Drosophila melanogaster: one gene and its partner. The protein of the gene in region 2 purifies or fractionates together with the protein of the main gene of each other region. This does not show direct contact. Each region holds a gene or a part of one and is shown on either strand. Other genes may lie near its edges.

Evidence for each region.
Region 1: the proteins of Chchd3 (region 2) and Mitofilin purify together in Drosophila melanogaster (affinity purification with mass spectrometry, with the first as the bait; one large-scale study listed by BioGRID). This does not show direct contact.

The regions. Positions count from the first base shown.
Region 1 is NT_033777.3:22,019,065-22,024,874, reverse strand, and holds Mitofilin (mitofilin), read left to right. Parts: upstream 1-1,800; 5' UTR 1,801-1,943; coding exon 1,944-1,988; intron 1,989-2,245; coding exon 2,246-2,475; intron 2,476-2,608; coding exon 2,609-3,082; intron 3,083-3,142; coding exon 3,143-3,291; intron 3,292-3,354; coding exon 3,355-4,050; intron 4,051-4,152; coding exon 4,153-4,173; intron 4,174-4,266; coding exon 4,267-4,425; intron 4,426-4,482; coding exon 4,483-4,771; intron 4,772-4,837; coding exon 4,838-5,015; 3' UTR 5,016-5,142; downstream 5,143-5,810. Other genes in the region: CG6028 (uncharacterized protein), read left to right, coding at 21-509; mRpL35 (mitochondrial ribosomal protein L35), read right to left, coding at 667-1,178, 1,243-1,267. UniProt on the Drosophila melanogaster protein: Component of the MICOS complex, a large protein complex of the mitochondrial inner membrane that plays crucial roles in the maintenance of crista junctions, inner membrane architecture, and formation of contact sites to the outer membrane.
Region 2 is NT_033777.3:31,051,804-31,055,639, forward strand, and holds Chchd3 (Coiled-coil-helix-coiled-coil-helix domain containing 3), read right to left. Parts: upstream 2,113-3,836; 5' UTR 2,030-2,112; intron 1,949-2,029; 5' UTR 1,911-1,948; coding exon 1,784-1,910; intron 1,505-1,783; coding exon 960-1,504; 3' UTR 813-959; downstream 1-812. Other genes in the region: Alp4 (alkaline phosphatase 4), read left to right, coding at 1-121, 182-609.

The DNA of each region.
Region 1 (5,810 bases), 9.0 Mb from region 2:
ACCAAAAAAAAATTCCACAGAAAATCGATTGGGAGGTTGAGCTGGTCTGTGTCATTGGCAAGGTCGCCCGCCAGGTGCCCAAATCGCAGGCCATGGACTATGTCTTCGGGTATTCGGTGGCCCAGGATATCTCCGCCCGCGACTGGCAGAAGGAACGCAACGGTGGTCAGTTCCTTATGGGCAAGTCGATGGACACTTTTCTGCCGCTGGGACCGGCTGTGGTGCACAAGAGTCTGGTGCCGGATGTTTACAACTTGAATCTGAAAACCTGGGTCAACGGCGTGGAGAAGCAGAACGGCAATACCGGCAACTTGATCTTCAAGCTGGACGATGTGATCAATCGTCTGTCGCAGACCATTACCCTGCTGCCCGGCGACATCATAGTCACCGGAACGCCCAAGGGCGTGGGCATGCATCGCACTCCGCCGGAATTCCTTCAGCCCGGTGATGTCGTGCAGTCGGAGATTGTTGGATTGGGCAAGCTGTGCAACAAGATTGTGGCTCCCTAAGATTGTCAACTCATTTGGCTTGTTGTGTTTGTAAAGTTTGTGTTATTAGTGAAACAATGGCATTTAATAGATGATTTTGTAGTTTTCAATAGATAAACTATAATCAGATATTTTGGTTTTGTTTAATTCAAGTATGTAGTATCTTTGATTAGCCAGGTCACACCTTAAAGGTCTTTGACTGTGTGGCGTAGTACTCGTTGCGGCTGTGATAGGGCTTATAGGGATCGTTGATGAAATGCTTTGGGCGCCGCCAATAGCTGGTGACCATCTTGTCCAGCAGCCAGCTCTGCGTGGCATTGGTGAAGACGTGCTGCTTGAGGCGGCGTCGTAAAGCTGCGGATTTCTTGAAGAGCTTCTTTTGGCGACCGGAATGGGTGCGTATCCAGGCGCCCCAGTCCAGGCGCTTAAAACGTTTCAGTACCGCCTTGACGGTCTTTCGTTTACCCTTCACCAGCGAGAATTTGGTCACGTTGCGTGTGTTTGATGGTGTTCCTGTGGCTGCTAGCACACCCGGCAGCTGCAGGAGCTGGTGATGAGCAGGAGATGCCAGTGATGGCGTGGGCAACAGGCACGGACGGGATAGAGTCATCAAAGTGGCACGTTGTGTCCGCTGGACCAGAGGAACCAACGAAGATGCAGCCGGCGACTGGCGGCAAACGCTTCGCAGCGCTGAAAGTTAAGAACAATTAAAGTAACGTAAACTTGTAAGCCCTATTAGCTGACTTCAACTTACCGCTTGTCACAAAAGTTCTTAGCATTTCACTTAAAACGACAAAGATAAACCTATAATTCCATACAAAACGCAGGTGCTCTTCTTCTTATCGAATCGCGTAACAGTCAGCTGTGTGCCATTCACAGCGAACAAACATAGATTAGCTTGCTATTGGAGATGGGAACCGGTCATCATAAGAACTATCGCAAATGTTTTGGGATTCACCCAAGGAATGGATCAAGTTCAATTTTTCGTTGATAACAATTAAGGCAAAAGGATCCCTTAACCATGTAATCCATTTGTAGAACACTGACAATTCTGACAATTTAAAACTTGTTATAAAAATTGTTGCTTAAACTTATGCGCCCATCTCCAAATCAAATGTATTTTGACTGGCCTATCGAGTACATGCGTATATGTTGCCGACACTTTTTCCATCAAAACACAAACCAAAATTGAGTGATCAAATTCGAGTGGCGCGGGCAAGCGAAACGAAAAGGACGACGAGCAGCACGCAGGACTCGTGTGCGTGTGCGTGGGAGTGTGGGGAATGGAAGAGGAAGCAGCAGCACTGGCCAGCCATTCACCCACCAGCGCTGACGCAGTCGAGCCAGCTTCGAACGAATTGGGCAATATTTAATTCACGCCGCCGGGACTTGAAATTTACGGTAGCCGAAGGAGCAGGAGCACGAGCAGAGCAGGATCACAGCAAAATCAACACCATGTATCGGCTAGCGGTGCGAGATCAGTGCAAGTGCGCCCTGCAGGTGAATTTTTGACCCATTCATTTCTAGCTATTTGATAACGTGAAAATCGATCGTCACGTTGCCCCACACCCCCGCGCGCCCACAAACAAGCGGTTGGCGAAAATACAACAAGAGGCGCTGGTTATGTCATCTACCAAGCCCAGGAATTGGGCGAAAAGCTCCAAAATTCCAGTTGACCAAGGGCGCGGGGGTATCAACGGGCTTGCCAATTTCCTTAAATGTGATGGTCCTAAATGTATTACCTTTCATTGCAACAGCGTACGCTGCAGCAGACGACCGCAAACAACAGGCAATTCGGCGGAAGCAGCAGCGGAAGTGGCGGCCGGGAACAGGGCAGGCGGCAGCAGGAGGAGCAGGGACAGCAAGGCGATCAAGGATATCAAGGATACCAGAGCCTGCCACCGCATATGCGCGAAGCTGGCTTCGGCAAAGTGGTCCTCTTCGTCTCACCACTGGCAGCTGTCGGCGGTGTCATCACCTACGCCAAGTAAATAGAGCCACAATAGAGGTTTAAGATAAGGATAGGCAGTCCACCTGTAGATCAACAAAAATTCGTACACATTTTATTGCACCTGAAATGCTTAAATGAACCATCGAATAATGTAGAAATCCTTTTCCAGATACGACGACGACTTCCGCAAATTGGTGGAGAAGAATGTACCCGGCGCAGGATCCGTCATCAAGGTGGCTCTGCAGGAGGAACCGCCATTCAAGGGCATCACCAAGAACGTCAACGATCAGATCGATAAGGTCAAGTCTGGCATCGAGACAGTGACGTCCACGGTGGACTCCGTTACATCTAAGGTGACGGGCCTGTTTGGCGGCGGCAGCGGCGATGACAAGTCCAAGAAGTCCAAAGTGGAGCCCGTGAAGGCCACTCCTGCTGAGGAAAAGAGACCCTCAAAACCAAGCGAAGTCAGCAAGACTGAAGCGAAGCCAGTGTCGAAGCCAGCAGCAGCAGCAGCGCCTGCGCCCGCTGCCAAGCCTAAGGATAATCCGCTGCCCCGCGATGTTGTTGAGCTGGAGAAAGCCATCGAGCTGTCTGCTCAACTGGCCGTCAAGGAGTACAACGTCGCTATTGGCGTTTTGAAAGGGTGAGCAATTCTCGTTAACTATTCGTTGCGTGATTTTAAATTTAATCAAATATCGTTCAGCTTTAATGACGATGTCCGTAAGGTTGTAGACAAGGCCGTAGAGAATGGAGAGAACTCTCTTTGGACCACGCTGAAAAATCGAGCAAGTGCCCGTGATACGGCAGTGGCTACGGCAGAGCGAGCTGCCCGTGAGGCTCAGGAGAAGATTGGTAAGTCCATTGTTTGTTAAATAGATTCCAAATTTCAGTAACATTCCCTTCTATCAACTGCAGTCGCCTGCGAGATCGCCCTGAGTGCTGCGGCAACGGCCCAAAACGCAAAGAAAGTAGAGGCAGTGCGCGACAAGATCAAGAAGCTTGTGGACCACATTGGCAACGTAAAGGACGAGCTTTACCGGCACAAGGACACGGCCAGCGTGTCAGACAAGTACTGGCGGAATGTGGAGAAGGCGCGAAACTACTTCATTGACGAGATCGAGTCTATCTTCCCCGGCCTCAGTTTGGCGGATAAGAAACTTAATCTGTCAAAGGAGGACCTAGACTTGTTCATCCTGCACGCCTACACCCATGTCCTGGCCTACCAGAAGGAGCTGCAGCGCTTGCAAACCGATGGTGAGCTGCGCCTGAAGAGAGCTATTGACTCGGTTCGCGGTGACAACGATTCGGAGGCTTTGCGCGCCCAACTGGAATACCATTTGGAGGCCGAGCGGCGCAAACTGGCCGTGGAAAATCAAAAGAAAATCTTCCACATCCACGCCGAGTCTGATAAGCTGCTGCGCTTGCAGCTCAAAAAGCAAGCAGAGGCCCACGCCGATCATATAAAGGACATCGTGGCGCAGCGGGAGACCGATCTGACGCGAAGCTTTAAGCGTGAACTTGAGGATAAGCTGGCGACCGAAAAGGCCAACTATAAGTTACAATTGGCCGGGATGCTCGGCAAGCTGCGCGGAATGGACGCGGCTCTGGCAGGTAAGTTATACGTTTTAAACGATATCGGTTGAATGTAGCTAGTGTAGCGTGGCTAGATATATAATGGTTTTCAAACCTTTTCAAAACATGCTGCTATATTAGAGATAGAGGATGAGTTTCAAGGTATATTCACCCTATATGAAGGGTAGTACTTATACCAACTTATTCTTGGTTTAATCAAAATGTTTATTGACATTATATGCAACATTTTTGCAGAGCGTGCGGATGCAGAGCGTACTGCCAATCAGGCGCAGGCCCTTTGGGCCGCCTGCCAAGCTCTGTGGGCCTCCGTGCGCGCTGCCACTCCTGGCGTGCACTATAAGGATAGGTTGCGCCCGTTAAAGAACGAGATCAATGCCATTGCCAAGGTGGCTAGTAAGTTGAAACGTTTCCCACATTTCGATTTCAGTTGCTAAATGCATATGCTTACAGAGGGTGACGACCTGGTGGCCGCTGTGCTGGAAAGCGTCCCGAAGGAGGCTCAGGAGCGCGGTGTCTATCCAGAAGATGCATTGCGCGAGCGTTTCCTGAATGTGGAGCGCGTGGCGCGACGATTGGCTTTGGTGCCCGAGGAAGGAGCCGGCCTGCCCATCTACTTCCTGTCCTATCTGCAATCGCTGTTCATCTTGCGACCCGATAATCCCATATCCAAGGACGAACTCGAGAACAAACCCTTCGACTATAGCAAACTGGACACCTACGATATCCTAAACAGGGCCAGGTGAGGCGATTGATTCATCTATCACTAGAGTTATATAATATATATTATATATATTATGTTTCACAGGTACCATGTGGATCGCAGCGACTTTCTGCAGGCGCTCAAGTACATGAATCTGCTGCAGGGTGCATCGCGCAAGATTGCCGGCGAGTGGATGAAGGAGGCTCGCCTCATGCTGGAGACTCAGCAGGCGGCCAACACCTTGATGGCTCACGCCGCTGCCAGCGGACTATTGTATTTGTAGACTACGTCCCGTGTCCCCTTCCTTCAGAAACAAGATGATACACTTACTATTTGTTATTAGTCCAGGAGAAGATGGTACGATTACCAACAATATGTAATTTGTCCAATTAGCGATCACAGTTGAAACGAAATAGCACTTATATACATATATTTGTAACATTTTGTTTAGCTTCAATTATACAAATTAAACATAGAAACCATCATTATAAAATCCAAAACATAAATACTCTGGGAAGATTTGTAAAAAATTCGATACCAAGGCATGAATGGAATATGATATATTACTAAAGCTGAAATTGGCAAGCTTTGTGTTTCTGAAGAACAATGTGATTAGGCCATAAATAAACATAAAGAACATCCACTTGTTGTTTAATTTAGCGAAAAAAATTAATATAATAAATAAGTTGACTAAAAAGTATGCTGAATGTCAAAATTCAAATAAAATGCATTGGCTAAATTTAATTTCTCTGTTCTGAAAAGAAAGCATGGTAGGCAAGGCAAATGTATTCAAAAACAGGTTACTATGCGGTTGCCGCCAAATTTATTCCTTAAATAATCGTATATGTTCGTTACTAATTTTCGAACGCCAAAATCGCGATAGTTGGTCGTTAGCCAGCACTGGACGCGCCAGTTTCGTGGGCGGCTATCGCCAGCCCTGGTAGTCAGAGGCAATCAGCTGGTTTGCGTGGTCGATTTGGTCCTATTGAAATTTTTCGGTTTGGCACCGGAGCAAAAATCACATCGCAATCAAAAATTTCGCGTGGCCAAAGGACACACTTTTGAGTTTGGATCAACA
Region 2 (3,836 bases):
GACCATTCCCACGCGGTCACCTTTAATGGTTACGCGCTCCGTGGAGCTGATATCCTGGGGACAGCTAATTCACACGAGAAAAACGATCCCATGTTCTACGAGACCATCTCGTATGCCAATGGTAAGCTAGACCTTAGCATTATCAGAATTTTCTGGTAAAACAAACTTTGAATGTTTTCAGGTCCTGGCTATTGGGATCACTTGGCGAATGACTCCAGACCTCAGAACAGCTCCAACATGTGGATGCCCCTGAAGCATTTTACCGCTGAGGAGCGGGCTGCTCCCACTTATCGCCACTTGGCGACGGTTCCCAGAAAGGACGAAACGCACGGCGGCGAGGATGTGGCTGTCTTTGCATATGGACCTGGTTCCAGTTTGATTCGCGGGGTCTTCGAGCAGAACTACTTGGCCTATGTGATGAGCTACGCGGGCTGTTTGGGTCCTGCCAAGGACTTCGATGACTCCTGTGAGGATCACAAGGATGGGCAAAAGGATAGGCCGCTGGACAAACCCAATCCAAAGAGAAATGGCGCCACTGTTGTGGGAGCCTCCTTGATCCCCATTTTGACTGCTGCCACTGCGGCTATTTTGCGCGGTCGCGGGCTGTAATTAATGTTGTTTTAAATATATTAATTGTTATTAAAGTTTATAGACGTACGGATGGCTTCGTTGAATGAGAGAGTGAGCGAGATGGAGGAGTGATCGTTGCAACTTAACAAATAGATACACTGAAAAATATGCAATGTTTTTTATTTTTGTCATGGTAAACTTGAATAGAATATCCCGGCCATAAAAACGTCGATGGATTGATTCATTTAAGTTAGTTTACTATCGCTCGCAATGACACTTTTGCTTAAGTTTTGAGTACATCCCCATCGATCGCTCAATCGTTTATACAAAACCCATAAGGGGCCTCAAAGAAAAGTCAACAAATTAGGACAAAAGGATTTGCCAGGATCCTAGGCCGCCTTGGCAGGAACGGTGGCCTTGGAGGTCACTTTCGACGACTCTGGTTCCGCATCCAGCTTCTGGACGCGATGAAGATCGATGCACTGTCGGAATTGGGCCACCTCCTCAATGCACTTCAAGGTCTCCCCGGGATGCGCGCGGTAGCAGGCAAGCAGCTGGGATTTCAGGTCCTGGCAGGGAGGCACTTTGTGCGACGACGCGGTGCTGACGAATCGCTTGTGCACATTTTCTACAGCATTGGCGTACTCCTTCTCCAGGATGGTGTTGGTCTTCTTGAGGTTCTCCTCCAGCTTCGCCATGCGCTCCTTCCACAGCTCGTCATTCTTGATTAGCTCCTGGTTCATCTGGCGCTGCACATCGGCCGCGCTAATGGTGTGTCCTCCTCCCTGGACGTAAATGGGCACTGCAGCGGGATAGGAGGATACTTTCGGAGCAGGAGAAGCAGCTGGCGAGGATGCGGCTGGCTTGGCGGCAGCCTTCGTCGTTGGCTTGGGCACTGGTTTCGATTCCTCCGCAGCGGCTGCGTGCTCACGAGCTGAATTGGACAAGATATAAATCAATAGTTTAATGAAAAAAACATACAAATAGGAATGGAAACTAGCCAATGAAACCAAAACTACACCCTTTCAAGTGCGTTTTTTTTTTGTGAACAAGATAGAAGAGCCACTCTCTACAACTTGCTGCTGTTCTCGTTAACGAGTTTCCACTGTGTTTGGCGTAAACATTTGCCCGTTTTGACAATTGTTGCATAACACCGAGCAGAGTGAAATGGTCATTTCCGGATATAACTCCACAATGCCATTGGATTGCTTACCCTGCTGGGATATTCCCGCCTTCAGTCGCTTGACCACATCGTCGGATATATCAATAACGCCGGCAGGAGTTGGGTTTTCCATTGAAACGGTTCGGGGCTCGCGGGATTGAGACTGTCGGGCTCCCATCTTTGAAGTTCCTCTAGCTGCTGTTCGTGGAGCAAAACCTGGAATATCGGCAATTGGTTAATCGGTGTCAAGTCTTCGCAAGCTCATGCATCGCTTCGATCTGTTTATTTCGGCCTTACCCTTTTCGGTGAAAAACTACAGGGCCAACCCAACAAAAATAAGACGTGCTCAGAGTGACCTTAAAGCGCAAGCACGAAAAAGACGCAAAACAGCTGACCGGTAGAGTAGCCAGATTGTTCGACCAGGGCTGGTTGTTTTTGTATATTGGCGTTGCCAGATTATCGAATATTCAAATCCTTCACTTAAGAAACCTTCATTTACGGTGGAATTTAGCTCCACAATTTCCCCCAACTTCTGTTTGACAACACAATAAGCAAATCTGATGAGTCGTGTTATTATTGTTTAAGCTTTTTAATGCCTCGTTCGTAATTGTTATTGTGAATGGTGGTGTGGCTTATTTAGTAGCTGCTTTTATTCTGTTCACACATACATATTCCATGTTCGGTTTAATTCGAAATACTTGCTAATTACATAAATGTGGCCTTATCGTGCACTTATCGATACATCCGTCGAATTCCGATCCAACGTACTTTTGAAATGTTTCATGAACCGCTTCGATTTCGATTTCGATTTCGTTTGTGGTTATTTTGTATTCCATATCACTGGTGGTTTATTTTTAATGATTTTCTCTCATATCGCCCATGATACACTCGAACTCGATCCAATTAGTATAATTAGTTATTAGTTCAAAATTCTATTCTCAATATACATATACAGTTAATTATACAAAACCTTCGAAATTACTATGTTCTCAATTTGTTAGTTTCTCTATTTCGCTTATGCTGAATGGACTGCTCGCTCATACAAGATCATTTAGTTCTCCATTTCTAGTGGCTCATAATCGCTATGAATCAGTTTGTCGGGCTTCGATTTCGTTTCTTTTCTATCAATAAAATGCTAATGGTTTAGGTTTAGTACTCTGTATGCTAGGAGGAAAATCACACATATGTATATATTTTAATTTTATACTTTTGGGGTTCGGATATTATTCTTATGTACACTCATCACTAGGTTCTCAATTCTCGGTTTGGGGAGGAGGATTGGGGCTTCTCCACGGTCGCGGATCCCCTAATCTGAATGCGCTATATGGTCGTGTTTACAAGGTTGGTCGTTTGCAAGGCGTGCGCTTCGAATGGAGTTGTGTTCGAAAAATAAAAGTAAAATGACTGAAACAAACCGATTAGAAAACAAAACAATTTGTAAGAAATATCACGTAATGTACTTTTATTTAAGTTTTAGTGGCTTCTGCGTTCAGTGATCCGATTTGTGTTTTGCATTTCTTTGATTTGTTAGTTCTTAGCCAGCCGATCGCTGTGGGGTTTACATGTTTACGTGTTCTCATAAGATATAGTTTATATTAATGTATATTCATATTTTTACCCATTCATTATCTCTTGGCGCATTTAGAATTTAAGTTTTTTTTTTGCATTTTCCTTTTTTATTTTACGGTTTGGTATTACTTATAAACAAATTTCATATTATAGCTATAGTTTATTAGCTAGCGTTGTGTAACTTTCCTCCGCAGGGCCATTACTTACATTGTTAAATCGAAACGTTAATGCAATTGTTTTGTTGTGTATGTCTAACGCAATTTATATGCTCTCTATCTTAGTTACATGATTTTGTTGCGTAAACAAAGGGCTGCCCCAACTCCCAGCTCCCACATCTCGCATCCCATTTGCCCACCGCTCGGGAAATGCGCGCTTAAGTGTTTAAAAATCGGAAAGATATATATGAACACAGGCAGCAAAGTGCAGACCACGAAAGTATATATATATATATATATATATATATATATATATATATATATATATATATATATATATATATATAAATATATATATATAGATAGGGGAGTAGGCGGTA